2 linked regions of the Rattus norvegicus genome follow. The protein of the gene in region 1 binds, or shares a complex with, the protein of each later gene. Links are inferred from orthologs where the notes say so. Each region holds a gene or a part of one and is shown in the gene's direction. Other genes may lie near its edges. The genes, in order: Gtf2e2 and Polr2d.

What was found.
Region 2: Gtf2e2 (region 1) and Polr2d share a complex: the UniProt entries of both Homo sapiens proteins name them as parts of the TBP-based Pol II pre-initiation complex. The link is inferred for Rattus norvegicus from reciprocal best matches to the Homo sapiens genes GTF2E2 and POLR2D.

Annotation. Positions count from the first base shown.
Region 1 is NC_086034.1:65,116,310-65,127,506, reverse strand, and holds part of Gtf2e2 (transcription initiation factor IIE subunit beta), read left to right. Parts: intron 1-2,350; coding exon 2,351-2,458; intron 2,459-5,955; coding exon 5,956-6,138; intron 6,139-9,314; coding exon 9,315-9,408; intron 9,409-11,197. UniProt on the Homo sapiens protein: Recruits TFIIH to the initiation complex and stimulates the RNA polymerase II C-terminal domain kinase and DNA-dependent ATPase activities of TFIIH. Both TFIIH and TFIIE are required for promoter clearance by RNA polymerase.
Region 2 is NC_086036.1:23,686,402-23,698,140, forward strand, and holds the start of Polr2d (DNA-directed RNA polymerase II subunit RPB4), read left to right. Parts: upstream 1-6,176; 5' UTR 6,177-6,231; coding exon 6,232-6,304; intron 6,305-7,643; coding exon 7,644-7,824; intron 7,825-10,974; coding exon 10,975-11,070; intron 11,071-11,739. UniProt on the Homo sapiens protein: Core component of RNA polymerase II (Pol II), a DNA-dependent RNA polymerase which synthesizes mRNA precursors and many functional non-coding RNAs using the four ribonucleoside triphosphates as substrates.

The DNA of each region.
Region 1 (11,197 bases):
CCCTCCTGTCCCCAGCTCCCTGAGCTCCCAGTGCTAGGGTTATGGGTGTGGTGCCATGCCTAGTTAGGCTGTATGTGTGCTGGGCAGGCACTCTGCTCACTGAGCTATATTAGATTTTCTTTTTAAACAGTTTTTTGTTATTTTATCTTTGTTGCAAGGTCTGGTGTATGGACTTTGTAGATGACAACTGTGTCATAGTGTCAAAAGATTGAATGTGCCTGAATTTAAGCAAAACCCTTGCAAATTGTGAGTGGAAGCGGGCTGTATCCCTTCTTCCTTTCTCCCTCCTTTCTCCTAAGGCCTGTTTTTAAAGGGCAAGTGTGCATATCTAATAGAAAGTAACTTGTAAACTGGCAAGGTTTGTCAGTTGTCCTGTTTCTCTCCTTTTAGAGGATCTATAAAAGGAACTTCAAAAGCAAAATAGGTAAATATAACATCACAAATACTTGCAGTAGACCTCTTTAGTTGCTCACTAAAAACTATGGAAAGTTCAAGGAGAGTTATAGGGCAACCGAGGTAGATGCAGGGATTGTTGTAGTTCATTGCTTCAAGAGACACCATAATCAGTGCTACTCTTATAAAGGCAAACATTTAATTGATTTACAGTGTCAGAGGTCAGTTCATTATCATGCATCCAGGCAGATACGGTACTGAAGGAGCCAAGAGTTCTACATCTTAATCCCATCTTGATCCAGAAGGCAAGAGAGAAGATGAGTTCCGTAGTGGACAGAGTTTAAGCATAGGAGACTTTGAGAAAAGTCCTCCCCCTCCCCCTCCCCTCCAGTGACACACTTCCTTCCAAGGCCACACCTCCAAATAGTGCCATTCCCCATGGGCCAAACATTCAAACACATGAGTCTTCGGGGTCCTGACTATTCAAATCAACACAGTGATTTTACAGCAAGAAGTGAGAACCTCAGAGAAAGTGCTAGCAGATATGTGCGTGCATGTGTGAGCCACGCAGGGGCGCGCCCGCGCGCCCGCGCGCCCGCACGCGCGCACACACCCACACACACACACACACCATACTAAAATGTACACAGAAAAGACAGGTATAAGACCTTTGAAAATACAGAATAAATATAAAATATAGAATAATATGAAAAGATTGAGACACAAGTCATTCTCAGTCCTTAATCCTGCTGTCTTATCCCTGTGGTATCTTGTTCACCTTTTAGATGGATGTGTCCCATGAGAAGCCACTTACTTTAGAACACATTTCCCTTAACATCCAGGTGCACAGCGCGGTGACTGGATTAATCTTAGAATCTCACTGTCTTCTGAGAGGCCCGTTCAGGAGCCACATCCCCCACCTCTGGGTTACCACCTTTGGCATTCATAAGTTGGCAATATATATGTGTGTGTGTGTGTGTGTGTGTGTGTACAGTCTATCCCTGATCAGCTTTTGGATCTACTTACGGAAGTTGCCATCGGTGATCTCATTGTTTGTGTCCAGCCCATCCCTTTTACCACAGTGGAGGACACTAGAGGTGACCTTTTCTTGAAGCATGAGCGTACGACTATGGTCCAATAGTGAAATGGCCACACAGACAACTTCCTGTTTAAAAGAAAACAACTATATAGCATTTATTGTGCTGTAGCTAAATTAGTCCTCACCAATGGTCATGCTGTTAAGAGTGCATTTTGTTTCCTGTAAGGGTCGAGGTACTTTATATTGTGATAGTCAGTGAGAAAGCCTATTTCCTATGACGCATCAGACATTCATAGTTTTCTATCTGATCGTGAGAAGCATCTTGGCGAGTTGTCTGTTTATGTTTAAGGACATTTGAATTTCTTTTTCTGTTATCTATGGTTTCCTGCAAGTTTTGTTTAATTGATTTGCAATAACTAGGAAAGTCTGTTTTTGGGGCTGGGGATTTAGCTCAGTGGTAGAGCGCTTACCTAGGAAGCGCAAGGCCCGGGGTTTGGTCCCCAGCTCCGAAAAAAAGATCCAAAAAAAAAAAAAAAAGGAAAGTCTGTTTTTGCTGTCATCCTCCTCTTCCAGATCAATACATCTTCATCTTGTTATGTACCCTCTATCAGTTTTGAACTTTTATGTAGATTAGGCTAGACTTGAAGTCATCATTTCGCCTAGGCTGGTCTTCAACTTAGGACTCTCTTGCCTAAGCATCCCACATACTGCGGTTACAGGTGTGTACTCCCATACCTGGCTTAAAGTTGGAAAACTGATGTTTTTCCTTGTTAGTTTATCGTTTGACTTTTTACCAATCTGGTTTTGTATGATTTCATGTTGTTGATCCTGGTAGTCATACTGCCTCAGATATTACATGTTGTATATTCCTGAAAAGATCAGTTTATATCAGTTTACATATAAAACTTTCCTCTACAGACACGACATCAGCGAGGAGATACGCATCCCTTAACTCTGGAAGAGATTTTGGATGAAACACAGCACTTAGACATTGGACTCAAGCAGAAACAATGGCTAATGACAGAGGTAAGACGACTCTTAAAACTTGTAAAAATGGGTATTTGCTACATCTATCTAGAGGTGTGTGTGTGTGTGTGTGTGTGTGTGTGTGTGTGTGTGTATGTGTGTGTGTGTGAGTGGGGGAGGGAGGCAGGCAGGCAGGCAACGCAGGGTCTTTCGTAGTGTGTGTTGACTTCGGACTCAGGGCACTCTGCTTTAGCTTCAAGAGTCACCATGCTTGGCTCCGAGTGTTTCTTTGTTCTTTAAATAAATCCTGTAATTTGTTAATACTTTTTACTTTTTCTTAAAAGACTTGATGTAGAGTCTTGGTTGAATTTAAACATACACATTTCTATAATTTGGTTGTTGGTTTCCACATAATATTATAATTTTATTTATGTTTTAGAAAGTCTTCTAAGACTACAGTAGAGCTGTGAAGTCAGTCACCAATTTTGTTTTCATTTTCATAAATAGTATTTTGAATTGCTTGTAAGTTATATATTGCATGTGTGCTTTAGAAAACTTAAAGCCTAAGGCGTTAGGGACAGTAACATTTTATTGCATTATAGCAAATGAGTTATCATTTCTAGTTACTTAGAGGAATAATATGATTGTTATGTTAAATAAATACCACCTTGAAGGAAGCCTAAAACAGTCACCAACCATGCCAGTTTGCAAGTGAACGACATCTTACATCTTATCTATTTGGGTGTTCGCTTCTTTAAAGTCTATTGGTACTGAAGAATAATATGTTCAAGACCAGTGATATGTCTGAGGACCAATATGAGCGGGGATATAGTGGCACATGTCTGTGATCCCAGCACTTGGGATATCAAAGCAGAAGGACCCCAAGTTTACGGCATTGTTAGTTCCATAGTGAGTTCAAAGCCAGCCTGGCAACATTTAAAACATGAAATATCCCTAAACAACCCGATATAATTAATCATTTATTCATTTATTTATTTCAGGCAGGTTTTTATAGACATCCTCCCATCCTCCTGCCTCTGCCACCCAAATGCAGGGATTAAAGACATGTGCTGGGCTGGAGAGATGGCTCAGTGGTTAAGAGCACTGGCTGCTCTTCCAGAGGTCCTGAGTTCAATTCTCAGCAACCACATGGTGGCTCACAACCATCTGTAAAGGGATCCGATGCCCTCTTCTGCTGTGTCTGAAGATAGCATACTCATACATAAAGTGTATGTATATATATGAACTCATTTACATAAAATACAGTCTCTCTCTTTTTTTTTTTTTTCCGGAGCTGGGGACCGAACCCAGGCCTTGCGCTTGCTAGGCAAGCGCTCTACCATTGAGCTAAATCCCCAACCCCACATAGTCTTTTTAAATACATTTGCTACCATGACTGGCCTAACTGAATTTATTTTATCCAGCAAGATGTAGTTCTTGATTTTCATACTATAAAATGATTTGACTTAGTCCAAATCATTGAAGGTCACGACTTCCGTCACTTACCTGTTACTAGAATCAGAACCCACCTAAGATTGCTCTGGTTTTGCTTTATTCTTTTTATATGTGTGATTTTTTTTGGTTCTTTTTTTTTTTCGGAGCTGGGGACCGAACCCAGGGCCTTGCGCTTCCTTTTTTTTTTTTTTTTTTTTTTTTTTTCCGGGGCTGGGGACCGAACCCAGGGCCTTGCGCTCGCTAGGCAAGCGCTCTACCGCTGAGCTAAATCCCCAACCCCTGGGCCTTGCGCTTCCTAGGTAAGTGCTCTACCACTGAGCCAAATCCCCAGCCCCAATATATGTGTGATTTTTTGCTTGTTTTTGTTTTCTTTCTTTTTTTTTTTTTTTTTTTTTTTTGAGACAGGGTCTCACTGTGTAGTTCTGGCTGTCCTAAACTCACTGTATAGACCAGGCTGGCCTCAAACTCACTGAGATCCATCTGTTTCCCAAGTACTGGGGTCAGAGGTTTGCACCACTACTTCTAGCTAAAATCGTACCCTGTAGTTCAGGCTGGCTCTCACTTGGCAGTAGTTTCCTGCCTCAGCTTCCTAACTGCCGAGAGTACAGGTAGAGTCTCCACAGCCAGCTCTACCTAAGATTTTTAACTTGAATCTGTTTACACGGAGATGTTGTAGATGATGATAATAAATATTGGTGACACACAGATGATGGTAATCCATAGCTAAGTATGCAGAGTTACGTAAATGTAGTTCCATATAGTTAGCAACACTCAAGTTTTACATTTTTAAAAATTTTATCTGTCGTTATGAGCATAAGGGTGGGTAGGTACATGTGTGCCACAGTTCGCATGGAGCAGCCAAAGGCAGTTCTGTTTATCATCAGCGTTTACTCTCTTGTTCTTACCCATATGTGGGGTTGAACATGTGTCGTCAGGATTCTGTGTCAAGTGCTTTTAGAGAACTCTGAACCATGTTGCCGCCCAAAGATTATTTTTAGTCAGTACTATTCTGTTTCATTTTCTTTCTCTTTTTCTGTGCCTGATTGGCAATTGAGAAAGAAGTATGTAGGCTTCTTTTTTCTCTTTTTGGTACTATGGCTTGGACACAGGAAGGACTTTATATATTAGTCAAGTACTCACTGAGCTGTATCTCTGGCCTTCCTTTTAACTTTTTGCTTTGAGACTTAATCACTAAGTTGCACAGGCTGACCTAGTGTACCTGTAACCTAGGTGGTTTTCACTGTCTAATCTTCCTGTTTTAGCCTACTGAGTAACTGGGAGCTCCTTTACTACCAGGCTGGGTTGCTCTGTTCTTTTTTTTTTTTTTTTTGGTTCTTTTTTTCGGAGCTGGGGACCAAACCCAGGGCCTTGCGCTTCCTAGGTAAGCGCTCTACCACTGAGCTAAATCCCCAGCCCCGGTTGCTCTGTTCTTGAGGAGCTTTCCTTCTGACAGTAGCTTGGTACCAGATCTTGTAAGAATGTTAGGTTCAGTAGCTGTGTTCTATTGACATTAGAGGTAACGTTTCCATGTGCGTTAGGCTGGCCTTCTGTTCTCTCCACAGCTTCAGTTTCAGCTGATGCCAGGAGAGGAGGACTTACTGTTGACTAATTTTTGCCAGTACGAGATAGACTGGGTATACTTTGGAGGAGGAGTAGGTGATACCTAGTTCACTGTGTCTACTAATAGGTATTTTTTTGATTCTTACCTTGTCTTCTAAAAGAATAAAGGTTCTTCAAAGCAGTTGTGATAAACAGGTTTCTCTCTAAAGAATGTATGCAAATAATGTATAGATCTTTCATTCTTTTTAAATAAGCGGCAAGCTCTGTGCTGATCCACTTGTTCTGGGATCCTAGATGCCCAGTGTTTCAGGTCTGCTAGTTTATGTTTATAAGATACTTCAAAGGGGTGTTGGGGATTTAGCTCAGTGGTAGAGTGCTTGCCTACCAAGCGCAAGGCCCTGGGTTCGGCCCCCAGCTCCGAAAAAAAGAAAAGAAAAAAAAAGATACTTCAATATGCCACTATGTGGGGGATGTAAGAATTTAAGGACATACACATGAGGTTTGCTTTTATACATATATCTAAATTGTGTTTCTTTTTACAGGCTTTAGTCAACAATCCCAAAATTGAAGTAGTAGATGGGAAATACGCCTTCAAACCTAAGTACAACTTGAAAGATAAGAAGGCCCTGCTCAGGCTTCTAGATAACCATGACCAGCGAGGACTGGGAGGCATTCTCTTAGAAGACATAGAAGAGGGATTGCCTAATTCTCAGAAAGCTGTCAAGGTAATCATTCTTTTCCTCCTACATCGTAGCTATAGATTGAATTGGTAATGTCTTTTTTAAAATTTTCTTTATCTCCTGAGACAGGGTCTTACTGTGTAGCCCTGGCTGTCCTGGAACTCAGAGGTCTGTTTGCCTCTACCTCCTGAGAAATGGGAGTGAAAGCATGTGCTACCATGCCCGGCTTCCTATGCTTTTCAGATATATTTGTTTTTATGTATGTGTCTGGGTATCTGCCCACGTCAAGGAAAGGAGAGCATGTTGTTGGATCCCTTGGAGCTGAAGCTGCTACAGGCAGTGTGAGCTGCCTGCTGTTGGTGACGGGACCTGAACTTGGGTCCTAGGGTTAGGGTTAGGGTTAGGATTGGGGGGATATGGAGTTCTTTTTAAAGTGTTTATCCTGGCGTCTTAGTGATCCAGTTAAAGTTTGAACTTTGTGGGGCTGGAGGGATAGATGGTTTAGCAGTTGATTTTGTTCCCAGCACCCACATGGTGGCTCACAGCAATGTCTAACTCCACGTCACAGGGATAGTGGCTTCTCTTCTGACCTCTGAGGGCTAGGCCATACACAATACTCATACCTGCAGTTAGACAAAGCACTTATACTCACAAACTAAAAACACTCGGTGCCACAGAGCCAGAAAGAAAATAATCATCTCTGTGTAATGTTAACAGGTTTTTTTTTTGGGGGGGGGTGGCTTTTGTTTTGTTTTTATGTTGCATCAGGGTTTAATTCTTCAGAAGAGTTCTAGAAAGTTTTTCTCAAAGACATTGGTTTTCTTGTTATTTGAAATAAAAACTCTTCCAACAATAGTGTTTGATAATGCTTACACCGGGAACTAGAGGCATTAAAGCATACTAAGGCCATTGCTTACTAACAAGTTCTGATGTCCTAAGGAGTTTGCAGTGAAAGTTAGGGTTATGAACACGACATTTTGGGTTAACTCTGAGACTCACTTGTAAAAGCTTCTTGTTGCCATTGCATGTTGAGCAAGTGCTGAATGGCTGAACTGGACCTCCAGCTTACCCAGCATCAACTAAATGCCTCTGAAGGAATGAAATGGTCTCTTTTGGGAGGTGTAGCAGTGGAGGAGAGAGTCTGGGTCTCACTATATAGTTCTGCCCAGCATGAACCACTTTTTGTAAACCAGGCTGTTCTTAAACTCACAGAAATGTCTGCCTCCCGAATGCTGGGACTAAAGAGGGGTGTGTGTGTGTGTGTGTGTGTGTGTGTGTGTGTGTGTGTGTGTGTGTGTGTCTGTCTGTCTGTCTGTCTGTCTGTGTCTGTGTCTACCCTGGGCTGTCTTTTGATTTTGAGATAAGACTTCACATGCCTAAGACTGGCCTTAAACTCCTGGTCCTCCTGTTGACATCCTGGGTGCTGGACTGACGGATAGCCCTGGTGATATAACACCACCAGACGAGCTTCTCACGTGTTATTCAGCTTTCCTGAACCACAGTGAAATAATTGACATAATCAGAGTTACAAACAAAGGGCTTATTTTAGCTTATGATTTTAGAGGTTTCAGTCCATGCTCAGTTTTATGAGACAGTCTACCATGGCAGGAGCATATAGTAATGCAAAAGTACCACCACCTTCATGCCCAGGAAGGAAAAGAGAGTCGCAGTCACTCCCTTGGTGATCTAATGACTTATCTTACCTGGCTCCTACTGTGCCACCCTGAGGCCATGCCTTAAAATGTGGGTCTTTTGGGAAATGTTCAAGATCCAGTGTGTAGATTTATCAAAAGTAGAACTATCTTAAATTTTAACTTCATGGCATCAAATTTTGACCTGTATAGATGTTGTAGATAATGACTGTTGTGTATGTGAGTCGTGTGCATACCTGGTGCTGGTGGAGTGCAGAAGACGTGTTGGATCCCTGCAGCTGGAGTTACAGTTGTTCAGGAGCCACCAAGTGGGTGCATGGGACTGAACAAGTGTCTTAACTATGGAAGCGCCCTCCAGCCTGACCTTACTTATTTTAAATGTATAATTCAGAGGGGTTATAGTCATATTCTAATGCTCAAGATTTCCCGAACTGTTGTTGTTTTGCATAACTGAACAGCACCTTTCAACAACTACTCTTTCCCCACTGTTTGTAGCCATTACCAGTGTGTTTGAGTCTGACCTTACCAGTGTCTGTGTTTTTGTGACTAGCTTATTTTTATATCCTTATGGTTCAACTGTTGCAGCACATGGGAGGATTTCCTCCCCTTTGTTTGTTATATGTGTACATTGCATTTTTGTTGATCCAGTTATCTAATTTTATTTCTTTTGGCTTTGGTTTTTCTAGACAGGATTTCTCTGTGTAGCCCTTCCTGACTTGGAACTTGCTCTGTAGACCAGGCTGGCCTCAGAGAGATCTACCTGCCTCTGCCTCCGGAGTGCTGGGATTAAAGCATGTGGCACTTCCTGGTTTACATTTTGTTTTAAAAGATGAAATTTTGGCTCTCTTGCCTTATTGCTCTAGCTCTGTCCTCTCCCTCCTGCTCCCCCATCTCAACCCCCCTCCCATGTGCTAATGGCTGGCCTATACTCCTTTACTCTCTCTCTCTGCCTTTCTCTGTCTCTACTGCCCTCTCAACTTCCCTCCCCATGCCCTGTATAACCTCTATTCTATACTTAAAAAAAAATAGATGAAGTTTGAGGGCTGAGGATGTTTTGTAGTCAGTAAAATACTTGTTGGACAAGCATGAGAGCCTGAGTTCAGGTCCCCAGTGCCCAGGCAACAGTACCAGTACCAGCTCCAGGGCACATTAAAACAAGTAGCTCTCAGGGGTTCTCTAGCTCACCTAGGTTCAGTGAGAGATGCTGTCCCACAAAACAAGATGAGGAAGAAGATACCCAAAGTCGATATCTGGATTCTGCATTTCTTCAAGCACTAACAAGGACACAGAAACAGAGACACACATAGACCTTTATGTTCTTTGACAGTTATCTAAGAAATCTGAAAGTATCCACGGAGATAAAATTAGTAAAGAAAGAAATTCAGCTCCAACCTGGAGCACGTAGGCTCTAATGATGACTGTGGGTTGAAAGAAAAGCCTTTGTGTTCTCTCTTTCCTCCCTATATATAGATACAGATATGTGTGTGTGAGAGAGTATGTGTATCATATGTATAGTGTGTGTTTTTAAATGAGTAATTTGATGTTAATTAATTTTTTTTTATCTTTAAGGCTTTAGGGGACCAGATTCTATTTGTAAGTCGTCCTGATAAGAAGAAAATACTATTCTTCAATGATAAAAGCTGTCAGTTTTCTGTGGATGAAGGTGAGACATTTTCTGTAGATCTTAAAGTTGCAAGTATGTCACAGTTTTAAGGTGATAAAGCTCGCAATACTTATATTGTAAATTAATATTGTTGGCGATTTTAGCATCACCATCTCTTAGCTTATAGCTAAAAGACACATATCTACTATCACATCCTAGAATGCGCTGAAATGCTCACTTGAAAGGTTTTAAGTCATTTGTACATGAAATTACAGTGTAGTGCCTTGTGATTTAATTATTTTTTTAATGAATGTTTTTGCTGGCATGTATTTTTTTGCACCACTTGCATTCCTGATGCCCAACAGAGGCCAGAAGAGGGTACGAGAGCCTTTGAAACTAAAGTTACAGATCTTTGTGAGCCACCTTGTGACTGCTTAGAATCAAACCCAGGTCCTCTGCAAGAGCAGCCCAGTGTCTTCACCACTGAGCCAACTTTCTAGCCCCAGTTCCTGTTTTCTTATGCTGATATCTCACTTGTGCCAAGTAGAATTTAGTTTTGAATGGTCTTAGTCAGGGTTTCTATTCCTGTACAACATCATGACCAAGAAACAAGTTGGGGAGGAAAGGGTTTATTCAGCTTACACTTCCACATTGCTGTTCATCAAAGGAATCAGAACTGGAACTCAAGCAGGTCAGGAAGCAGGAGCTGATGCAAAGGTCATGGAGGGATGTTACTTCCTGGCTTGCTTCCCCTGGCTTGCTCAGCTTGCTCTCTTATAGAATCCAGGACCACCAGCCCAGGGACGGCACCATCCACAATGGGCAGGGCCCTCCTGCCTTGATCACTGATTGAGAAAATGCCTTACAGCTGGGTCTCACGAAGGCATTTCCACAACTGAGGCTCCTCTCTCTCTGATAACTCCAGCTTGTGTCAAGTTGACACACAGAACCAGCCAGGACATGAATCCTGCGGCTATTTCCTTAGTTTTTATTTTTAAAAGGTTTTATTACTGGCTCTGGGTGTGGTGGCCCAGCACTTTGGAGGCAGAGGCTGGTTGGTCCCAGTGAATTCAAGGCCATCCTGGTTTATATACCTGCTCAGAGTCATCCAGGGCTACGTAGTAAGGCAGTATCTCATAAACAGAACCAGACAGTCTCATCGTATATGGACCGTATGGTAGGGCATTTCATACAGTGCTTATGTTGTAGTAAGCATGGTTCCCTCATGTCTTCCTTGCCTTTACTTTCTCACCTCGTCTGGACTTATATTGACATCATAAGCTGAGAAAGACTTGATGCATGATGTGAAAATATAAATATTTGTTGGTGACTGATATTCTCTTGGGAATCTTTCAATTACTAAATTTATAAGAAAGAAATTCATGTTTTTCATTTACGACAATTGTATAGTTGTGTGCTATGCTATTTTGATTTGATCTTTAGAATTTATGAGAGAGAGAGAGAGAGAGAGAGAGAGAGAGAATATGAATCTGTGTGTGTCTGTGTGTAACTGAATTCAATGCCTCAAATTTGCCCAACAAGCACTACACACTGTCTCCAGGCCTCTAGCATATTCTTATCTCTGTTTCAGTGTCTCTTTCTCTTTTTTTTTTTTTTTTTTTCTTTTTTTCGGAGCTGGGGACCGAACCCAGGGCCTTGTGCTTGCTAGGCAAGCGCTCTACCACTGAGCTAAATCCCCAACCCAGTGTCTCTCTTTGCTCAGCATAAATATGCCACTTAGTTTATTCAACCTTTGTCTTGGCTCCTTTGATGTATCCACATGTTCTTGGTCACAGTTTTTCATGTGAAACTTGCTCTGTAGCATTGTCTGCTCTGGAAGATGTTTGAG
Region 2 (11,739 bases), on another chromosome or scaffold:
AATGGTTAAGAGCATTTATTCTTATTGAGGGTCTGGATTTGGGTTTCAGCACCCATATGACCGCTAACAACCATCTGCAATTCTAGTTCCAGGGGGGTCCGACACACTCCTGTTGCTTCCTTAGAGACTGCACACAAACAATAAACTGACATACATGCAAAGCAAACACCAGGACTTGAGAGGCACGGTGTCCCATGCCTGTAATCTCACCACTTAGAAGAGGCAGAGACAAGCAGATCTCTGAGAGCTCAAGGCCAGCCTGGTTTACAAAGTTATAGGAGTATCAGCTAAGGGTGTACAGTGAGACCCTCTCTCAAACACAAAATCCCACTCCAAATCCCTCGCACGTTAAATGGGACTCAAACTCCAGGTTTATGATTGTGTAGCAAGGGTTCAATTGTAGCAAGTGTTCGTAAGTGTGGAGCCATCCCTAGCGCTGGCCTGTTGGAGGTTCTTTAGCCAAGGTCCAGTACACAATGCCAGGGCTAGATGGCTCTCCAGCCATCTGAATTGTCCTCAGTGTTGTGTATAAAGTGGGATTATGGGAAAATGGCAAGCAGTAGTTCTCAATCTTCCTAGTGTTGTGACCCATTAATACAGTTCCTCATGTTGTAATGACTCCCAACCGTGAAGTTACTTTCAGTGCTACTTCACAACTGTAATTATGCTGTTAAGAGTCTTAATGTAATATATAAAAATCTTTGCCAAACGGGTCAAGAACCACAACTTGAGATCTGGTGCTTTAGAACACTGGACATGTAGAGGGAGGCAATGTTTGTGTTCCAAGTCAAGATAAGCTTCCTGAAGTTGCAGGGATTACAAATGATACTTTGGGCAAGTCCAGCTTTGCAAAAAATTAGTTTATTAGGGTTACTGACTGGAGTATGTCCAACTGAAAAATGCCAACACTACCCTTCAAGTTCTACCTCTGCCCTTGTTTGAGGGGTGACAAGTTCTCATGTATCCTGACATGGCCTTAAATTTAGCTATAGAGTTACAGCTAAAATCTACTGGGATTCCAGATGAGCCTGCACCACCCCACCTTCATGAAGTGCTTGGTCAGAACTCAGGGATTCATGCATATCGACAAGCACGCTTCTGAGCTAAATCCCTAGCTCCAAGAGCCTATTTTATGTGGCTTTAAGTCTACAGCAGAATTCATGCAAGAGTGCCACCTACTAGTGATGAGTTAGAGCTTACTCAGGTTCACAAGGCCTAAAATACATATAAAACCAGGTCCCGGGAAATCATGTTTATGTGTGCTACACCTCTGTCCTTTTGAGTGTGTGTGTGTGCGTGTGTGTGTGTGTGCGTGTGTGTGTGTGTGTGTGTGTGTGTGTGTGTGTGTGTGTGTGAGCGTGTGTGTGCGCGCGTGTGTGCGCATGCCACAGTACCTGTGTCAGAGGTCAGAGAACAACTTTCTCGGGAGTTGATGCTTTGTTTAGTAAAGAGCTTCCTTGCTGTTGGAAGACAGCTAGTAAATGTTGCAGAGAAGGTCCAGGTACAACGAAAGGCACATGACCATGCAGCTCATGTAACCCTTCCCTTCGTTATTAATGTAATCAGAGATACAAAAGGATGGAGCCTACTTGAAGTTTTGTGTGATTCTCCAAAGAATCTGTGACATCTAGGCTTGAAAACCTCCAAGTTTAGGCTGTCTTGATATTTCTTTGTGTGTGTGTGTGTGTGTGTGTGTGTGTGTGTGTGTGTGTGTGGTGTCTTTCTGAGGATTGATCCCAAGACTTCACATGCTAGGCAAGTACTCTACCATTGAGTTATATCCCAGTCCAGAGACCTGGGCTGTTTGTTTAATTTGTGTATCTGTGTGCCTGTACCTGTGTGAGCATCTAACTTTTGGGAACTGGTTCTCTTTCCACCATGTGGGGTCTCAGACTGAACTCAGGTCATGATCTTTGGTAGCAATGAGATCAGAGTCATCTTACTGGCTTGAGAGCTGAAGGTTTTGTTACTTTGAGACAGGGTTTCACTATGTAGCCTGGGCTGGCCCAGAACTCACTACGTAATCTCAACTATAGTGAACCATCTGCATTTGCCGCCCCATCAGATCTTCAGTTTAAAGACCTGCTCTGCCTGAGGCAACACAACTTCCGGGATGCTTTCCATCCTGTAGTCATGAGAAGGTAGCAGGACACTATTATGTTCCTGAGAAAGTCTTTCTGGTCATGTCTTGCTTATTTACTTCAGTACCTGGGAGGACAAGTTTTCCAAATCTTTGTTAAAGTAAGTCCATCATTTTTGTTTGTTTGTTTTTGTGACAGGCTTTCTCTGTGTAGGCTTTTTGGCTGTCCTAGAACTCCCTTCATAGACCAGCATGACCTTGAACTCAGAGAGATCCATCTGCCTCTGCCTCCGGAGTGCTGGGATTAAAGGCATGCACCACCCCTGCTTGGCCAGTAAATCCATCCTTAACAAGATGGAGAGTTGGCTCAGTGGTTGAGAACACTTGTTCTTTCAAAGGACCCAGGCTCAATTCTCAGTACCCACCCAGAAGCTCACCACCTCCTTGGGCACCAGGCACACAAGCGGTGCACAGACATACACACAGCCAAAACACTTATGCATTCAAAATAATAAACAAATCTAAAAAATTACCAAAAAAAAAATCAAGATGATCAAGACATTTAGCTGTGTTATGTGGGAGCAAAAAGTGCATTTCTCCCTCAGATTTTTACAATGCCAGAATCCCTGACAAGAGCAAAGATGAAGTTCAGTGGATAAAAGCCATTCAAGTTGACAGTCAGGATTACATATCAAGCTTAACCTGCAGAACCACAGGGTTCTGAAAGTTGAAGGGCATGGTGCTTTGGTGAGGACCTCCCTTCACATGGCATCATGGATATAAAAGGGAAAGAGAACATGATAAAGGTGAGATGCACGGTCTGGTGTGCAAAGAGTACAAAATACATTAATTCCTCCTAAGGCCATGCCCCCAATATCTAAGGGCATCCCACTAGACCTCAGTTCTTTTTAAAAATTCATTAAAGCAATTTTTATAGTTTGCATGTATGCACACATATATGCCTCTGGTGCATGTATGGAGGTCAGAGGACAACTTTTGGGAGTCGGTTTTCTCCTACCAATTAAATTCAGTTCCTCTGGCTTAGTAGAAAGTGCCTTTAGACACCAAGACATCTCTCTCTCTCTTTCTGTGTATGGATGTTCATGTGTCTGCAGGTACACGTGTGTCCATGTACATGGCAGAAAATGATATTGGATCCCTATTCAGGAATGCCATCCAATTTCTTTGAGGCAGGTCTCTCACCATCCTTGATTTACACGGCCCGAGAGCTCTTGGGATTGTATATATCTTCTTCCTCTCAGGGCTGGGATAATGAGCACTTTATGTGGGTTCTTATGATCTGTAACAAGGGTGCTGGTGGCCCTGATACTGACAAAGAACTGAGGGGTTGGGGATTTAGCTCAGTGGTAGAGCGCTTGCCTAGGAAGCGCAAGGCCCTGGGTTCGATCCCCAGCTCCGAAAAAAAGAACCAAAAAAAAAAAAAAAAAAAAAAAAAAAGAACTGAACACCAGGGACAGACAGAAGACCAAGCCCTGGAGAGGGGGGAAGTAAAAGGAATAAAAGCCTAACACTTGGAACTCCTGAGTAGACTGTGGTTTGAATATTTTCTGGGGCCCCTGGGATCGCCTCTTCCTGTTTAGATGCCCGTCCTCATGCTCCTCTGCCATTTCTCCCAATGAGAAATGTTCTTCTGTGAACATGGAATCTAAGGGAGGCTGCTTTTCCTTTCCTTGTCCACTCATATCCCTCGAACTTTCTCCCAGATGAAATCTGGGTCCGCATGCTGGCAAAAGCAAGCACTGTCATAACTGAACCTCCTCTCCAGTTCTAGTCCCTACCTCCTACGCAGTTCTGACTTCCAGGACACGAAGCTTTAGGAGACACATTTAAACTACAGCCAAACATCGGACTCTTGATCTTTCCTTAGCACCTTCTTTGACTGTGTTACATCACCCGTCAGATATTGCACTCGCTACTCTTAGTGAGCTCATGTTCGGGACAGATTTTTACCCTACTCATCATTTTAACCTCATGGACTTACAGATGGCTTATAATGGCTTCCTAAATGAAAATGGTACACATGGGCCAACCTGGGAAATGTCACTTTATGTTTTTGTTACTCTTGTTTTCTCTCTCTATGCCTGGTGACTTCTCTCCTCCTCCCTCCTTTCATGCCTCTGTGTGTGTGTGTGTGTGTGTGTGTGTGTGTGTGTGTGTGTGTGTATGTGCGTATGTGTATATATGTGTGTGTATGTATGTGTATGTGTATATGTGTGTATTATGTGTATGTGTGTATATATGTGTGTATGTATGTGTATGTGTATATGTGTGTATTATGTGTGTATGTATGTGTATGTGTATTATGTGTGTGTGTGTGTGTGTGTGTGTGTGTGTACTGAATCTCAAGTCCATTTCTACTACCTAGGTGCAGTATGACTATGAACTACTGCCCTGAATATCTTTGCAGGAGTTCTGATAAGCTGGAGCATGTCTGTTATAAAGGTCTTATGCTTTAAGGTTTATTTATGAGTATGGGTATTTTGTCTACATGTATGTCTGCACACTAGAACACCATGGACAATAGTTATAGACTGTGCGAGACACCATGTAGATGCTAGGAACTGAATCCATGACCTCTGTAAGAGCAGCCATGCTCTTAACTGCTGGGAGGTCTCTCCAGTCCCTGTTGTGATTTCTCACATGCTGTTCAGGAAAGCACCGAGAAATGGTTAAAAAGCTGTCAATACTATATAACCATTTATTTTAACCAATGCATTCCTTCTACAAATATAGATACACAGCAGTTTTGTAAAACTCATTTTATTTACAAACCAAAAGACTACCTATTCTTGGACCAGTGAGATCATGCAGCAGATAAAGGCCCTGAGTTCAATCCCCAGAATCTATGCAAAACTGGAAACAGAGAACAAATTCCACAAAATTATCCTCTAATCTCTTCTGTGCACCTCTGTATATATAATAAAAATACATTTTCTTGTCTTGTAATAAATACTTCTATCAATTTTTAAAAAGATTTATTTTCTGTGTATGTGAAGGGTGTGTATGGTGTGTTTCACCTCCAAAAGAGAGACCAGAAAGGGTTTAGATCCCTTGTAGCTGAAGTCACAGGTGTTTGTGAGCCATCTGGTGTGGGTGCTGGGAAATGAACCCAGGCCCTCTGAAAGCATCAAGTGTTAACCACAGAGCCACCTCTCCAGCCCATTTTTTATTAAGTTACAGGGTTTACTAGTGTTCACTAATGACCCAAAAACTGGAGAAGTGTTTGTCCCCCTTATTGTATAGACTTTTGTTTCTCTTTAAATTGAAAATATCACTTTTTCATTTAGCTTTCTACTTATTCAAATGTCTCAACAGATATGATAAAGGGTTCTCAATATTAAACTTCACCTGCTCAGAATTGTTAAATACACAGGAACAATTTAACAGGATGGTATGTTACCTAAACTGGCATGGATTCTTGGGAATTTGCTAAGTAGCCACGCCTCTTTGTGAATTTTTTTTTTTTTTTTGAGACAAGATCTCACTATGTAGCCCTGGTTTTATATCACTTTGTAAACCAGGCTAGTCTCAAATTCAAAAGATCCACCTGCCTTTGCCTGCCTCGGGCATGCTAGGATTAAAGGCATGCGCCACTACAAACTGATCTCCTTCAACTCTTGATCCTCGCGCTCAGTGATTGATTCATTACCACCACACAGGGGTTAGTCTTTTTTTTTTTTTCTTAAGACACAATTCAATCATTGAAAGAGATTTCAGTATGTTTCTGTAGTCACCTACCCAGCTTTTCAACATAGGACATTCCTTGGATCAGCCACTTAGTTCAGTCCTGCACCTCACTTTCTTCTGAAATGGCTTACTTGACGCTCCCAGGTGCCACGGCAATAGTGTGTTGCCGAAAATAAACACTTTAATCTCCAAGCAGGCAGCACAGAACCACACCTCCAACGACCGGAAGCCGCTAGACTGCGCCCGGACCGCCCCTGTCGCGGGCAGTCTCGCGGGTTTCCCCTAGTGTGATAGCAGGGTGCCTGACCTACCGTCGTCCGCCCGCTTTCTCGGCCCCGCCCATTCACTTGGCCCCACCCCGGAGCCGGATTGGTTCTTTTCCTTAGAAGAGCCCGTCCGTGCGGCTTCCGTCTCCGGCAGTGTCTGTGGCAGTGCGCAGGGCGATGGCGGCAGGTGGAAGCGATCCTCGAGCTGGCGACGTAGAAGAAGATGCTTCCCAGCTCATCTTTCCCAAAGGTAGTATCCGGGACAGTTCGACTCTGAGGTGACATTGTCCTTGAGTTATAGTCGTTATCCGTTCCCTGCCCACAGGGAGCATTCGGGGCCGGCACGGGGGATTGATTGGTCAGCCCGGTACAAATGAACCCTTTCGTAGTTAATTCCCCTACACCCAGCAGTTTTGTTTTTGTGAGAGCGTCTAATTAGGTATCCTAGGCTAGCCTCCACCTTATCACATTCGTGCCCTTTCCTCTTGAGTGCTAGAATTAAAGGCATGCGCCATCGCTCTTGATTTTTAGGGGGAGTTAAGCTATGCCTTTTCCTGTCATGCAGAAGATCTGGAGCAGAGGTCTCATTTCAAAATTGGCAGCCAGTAAAAGCTGAGCTATGGTTCCTCTCACAGTGCTAGTCAAAGCGTTTCAAGATCTGTGGGTCAGAAGTGCTCTCTGCCCTGGCCTCTGAGGAGAGATGCTGTTGCCGTTGGTTTCTGAACCTTCGTTGTAGCTTTTCGAGTTAGGAAGAACGTTTGAGAGCAAGATGGGTTCCGGTTTGGGATGTCTGGTACTTCCTTTTGTCGGATGTGTGCCAGCCTCTGTGCATAGTGCTGTTCCTGCTACTAAACTAGTCTAAACTAGTCACCTTGCCCCAGGAAATCAATCCCCTGTCTCTTCCTACCAACTGTTAGATATAGGAACCCTCTGTACCTGTTTTGTGGGTTCTGAGGATCCTAACTCTGCTTCTTACACTGGAGTGGCAAGTACATTATCCACTTAATCATCTGCCCAGCCCCAGCAAGTGAGGTTATCTTCTGTCTTTTGTGTGTGTTTTTAATTGAGATGGAGAATCTTTGTTTTTAAATTTTTATATATAAGGATTATTTTGCCTGCGTGTAGGTCTGCATGCATGTGAGGTGTCCATAGAAGCCAGATGTACTAATTGGACTTAAAAGATGATTTCGAGCCATCTTGTTGGTGCTGTGTGTGGCAGAACCCTTATCCTCTAGAAGATTAGCCAATGCTCTTAAGTGCGGAGCTGTCGTCTCTCCAGCCCTTATGTCACTGTTGTAAAATTTATTTTTATTTTAATTATGTCTGTGCAGGTATCTGAGGAGGGGAGAGGTGCTATGAGGTGTCTGATGGGGTGCTGAGAATTGAACTTCCTTCGAAAGAGCAGTGCATGCTCATTTCTCTAGCCTTCTGGTTTCGTTTGTTTGGTGTTTTTGAGTCTCTCTGGCTATCTTACAGCTCATCAATAATAGACCAGGCTGGCCTCAAACACAGAGATCATCCTGCCTCTGCCTCCCAAATGCTGAGACTTTGAAAAGAGTATTTTCAGTTCACATTTATTCTTCTTCCAGAGTTCGAAACAGCTGAGACGCTCCTGAACTCTGAAGTTCACATGCTTCTGGAGCACCGAAAGCAGCAGAATGAGAGTGCGGAGGACGAACAGGAGCTTTCAGAGGTTTTCATGAAAACCCTGAACTATACAGCCCGTTTCAGCCGGTTCAAAAACAGAGAGACCATTGCCAGTGTTCGTAGGTGAGTACTGAACATAAGCCCAAAACTAAAATCTACTTATGTATGTGTTATGGGAGTTTGGCTGCTTGTATGTCTGTGCACCATGTGTGTAAACACCCACAGAGGCCAGAATAGGGCGTTAGCTCCCCAGGGCTGGAATTACGGACAGTCGTGAGTCACTGTGTAGGTGCTGGGACTCGAAACCCAAGTCCTCTGAAAGAGCAGCTGGTGCCCTCAGCTGCTGAACCGCATCTCCAGCCCTACAAAACGGTTTTATTATTATAGACTCTCGTGAAAGACAGAGGCTGTAGGATCCAGGAGTTCAAGGGCATCCTTAGGGGCATAGTAGGTTCAAAGCCAGCCTTGATTGCATGAGACGCTGTTTTAAAAATGCTAACAAAGCAGGGGCCGCTGAGATGGCTCAGTGGGTAAAACATGCTTCAGCCAAGAGGTGGTGGTGCACCCCTTTAACCCAGCACTCAGGAGGTAGAGGCAAGCATATCTCTGAGTTCGATGCCAGCCTGGTCTATAGAACAAACAAACAAATGCAACCAAAAGTGCTTTCTGGGTAAGTCTTAGGACCTGAGCTTATATAGAACCCCAGATGCACCCAGAAGCTCTGAGAATGAATGAGAAGTTGCCTTCTAAGTATGTATGCTTACGCACTTACACATACACACAAATGGCTAAATAAACAGACCACACACAAATACTTAGGGGAAAAACAAACAAACAAACAAAAAAACCCTAACTGGGTATGCCTTTAATCCCAGAATTTGAGAGACAGAGACAGGAGAATCTCTGTTTGACTCCAGCCTGGTCTACATAGCAAGTTCCAGGACTACATAGATAGAACCTGTTAAAAAAAAGTAATCAAGGGCTTGAAGCCCCCACCCCCACCCCCAAATTTTGCCTACCAGAAAAAAGGCTCTCAGACTTGACTCAGTCAAAATTTTCTCCACTGCATCACAAATTCTGGGGTTACTAGTATATGCCATCATGCACTCGCTGCCCTCCAGGTACGATTTCTTGTATTCATTTTTATTTTATTATTTTTTTTATTGGATATTTTATGTATTTACATTTCAAGTGTTATCCCCTTTCCAGTTTCCCCTCTGGAACTCCTCTATCCCATCTCTCCAACCCCTGCTTCTACGAGGGTGCTCCCCCACCCACCCACTCCCAGCTCACTGCCCTGGCATTCCCCTATACTGGGACATCCAGTCTTTGCAGGACCAAGGGCCTCTTCTATTGATGCCAGACAATGCCATCCTCTGCTACATATGTAGCTGGAGACATGGGTCGCTCCATGTGTATTCTTTGGTTGGTGGTTTAGTCTCTGGGAGCTCTGTGGGGATGGAATCTGGTTGGTTGATATTGTTCCTGTAGGGTTGCAAACCCCTTTGGCTCCTTTAGTCCTTTATCTAACTCCTCCATTGGAGACCTTGTGCTCAGTCCAGTGGTTGGCTGTGAGCATCTGCCTCTGTCAGAGCCTCTCAGGAGACAGCTATATCAGGCTCCAGTCAGTATGCACTTGGCATCAGCAATATTATTTTTATTTTATACACACACATACACACACACACACACACACACACACACACACACACACACACACATGAGGGGGCGGGGAGAGGGGATTTCTTTATATAACTTGGATATATATATATGTGTATATATATATGTGTGTATATATATATATATATATATATATATTTTTTTTTTTTTTTTTTTTTTTTTTTTTTTGAGGCAGAGTCTCATTATCTAGCCCCGGCTGGTCTAGAACTCCATATTAGACCAGGTTGTTTTCTATCTCACAGAGATCCACCTGTTTTGAGATTAAAGGTGTCGAACACCACACTGTCTTTTGTTTTTTAGAAAAAATTTATATTATTGTCATCGTTATTATTACTGAGACAGATTTGTATCTCTGTTTAGTGAAGAGCATGCTGTGTAGACCAGGCTGCTGTGAATGTGTGCTATTAGGCACAGAAAATCATTTTTTGTTATTTTGTTTATATGTATATACACGCTTGTATATATGTGCACCATGTGTGTTCAGTGCCAGCACTAGCAGAGGCCAGAGAGGAGTTGTAGACACATGGACCCACCCAGTGCAGTTGTTAACTCAAGTCCTCTGAAAATTAGCAGATGCTGTTACTGCCGAGCCATTTTTCCAGTCCCCCAGAGTATATAAGTTCTTACTACATTCATTTGGAAACCAAACTTATTCTCTCGTAAGCTTTATTTTATAGTGCAGGCTATGGAGATCCTGAAGGTGCAGCTTACACACAGATTTGCACAGAGTTTGGGGTATTTCAAAGTTAAAGGAGAGGAGTTTCCCTCAACATACGCAATAGGCTAGCCAATCAGATCTCCTGAATTGCTTAACATTAACTTATCAAAGGTAGCAGATAGAGCAAAGAGCTAGAGAGTCACTTCCTTTTGAATATTTATTTATTTTTTTTTCTTTTCTTTTCTTTTTTTTTTTTTTGGAGCTGGGGACCGAACCCAGGGCCTTGTGCTTGCTAGGCAAGCGCTCTACCACTGAGCCAAATCCCCAGCCCCTTGAATATTTATTATTGCATTTTATTTTATGTGTGTGTTTGCCTCTGCACCACACAAGTGCCTAGTACTGGCAGAGTCCAAAGAGGGGTATCAGATCCAGTGGATCTGGAATTTCAGACAGTTGTGAGCCACCATGTGGGTACTGTAAATTGAACCCGGGACCTCTGAAAAGAGCAACTCTCAACTACTGGTTTCTTGGCAGTAGTTACAGCACATACATTCCTCTTTACCCAGCTGTGCTCTTCTCAGGGTTCTTGGCTGTCTACGGTGGGTTCTTTGTTTTCTTTTTCTGGAACGTCTTGATTTTCTGGGGTAGGAACAGAAAGTGATTTCAAAGGGGGATTCTGATGCCCATATAGCCACAATCAAAGATTATAAATACCTTTTCTCACCTACATTTGATCTTTTTGCTATTGATGGACTTAGCATTTGACCAGCACTGAATGAGACTGTAGTTTTTTGTTTCGTATTAGCATATAACTGCAGGTAATTACAGGTTCCATTGTGACATTTTTATTCAGGTATATAGTATAGTATAGATCGTGCTCATTTCCTGTCTCTGTCCCTCTCTAACGTCCTGTGTTCTATTTCCCTCACACTCAGCCTGCTTCTCCAGAAGAAGTTACATAAGTTTGAATTGGCTTGTTTAGCCAATCTGTGCCCGGAGACTGCTGAGGAGTCCAAAGCGCTGATTCCAAGGTTCGTACGGGATGGGATGGGGTTTGTCTATTTTATATGGATTTCTCTAAGTCAGATTGCTAGATCCACATGTCGTAAGCGTTTAGCAGTTGGGTTGATGCCATGCTAGCGTTGAGTAAGAGTGTAGTTGAGTGGTGTTTGAGATGGGACTTGGGGGTTGGTTTTGTGCTTTGCTGGTGGCAGTCTCAGGTAGCCAAGGCTTTCCTTGAGCTCTTGATTGCCCTGCTTTCACCTCAAGGGCTGGGATTACAGGCATGAACGAGCATGCTGGCTTAAGAATAGTTTGAGTTTACCCATTAATTGTTTGTGTGCATGTGTACACACGCATGCCTGTGAATGTCACATTAAGCACGTGAGGGTCAGTGGACAGTTTCTCTTCGTTTACTAGGTAGGTTCCCAGATTAAACTCAGGTTGTTAGATTTGGTGGCAGACAACCTTTATTAGCTGAACCATCTTGGAAGCCTGAGAACAATTGTCTTTTTTTTTTCCCTCTATTCTTTTTTTCGGAGCTGGGGACCAAACCCAGGGCCTTGCGCTTGCTAGACAAGCACTCTACCACTGAGCCAAATCCCCAACCCGAGAATAATTGTCTTATACCCCAGGACAGGAAGAATATGGAACAGAAGAGGGTGGTAGGAATATAGCTCAGTGGTAGAACTTTTTGCCTA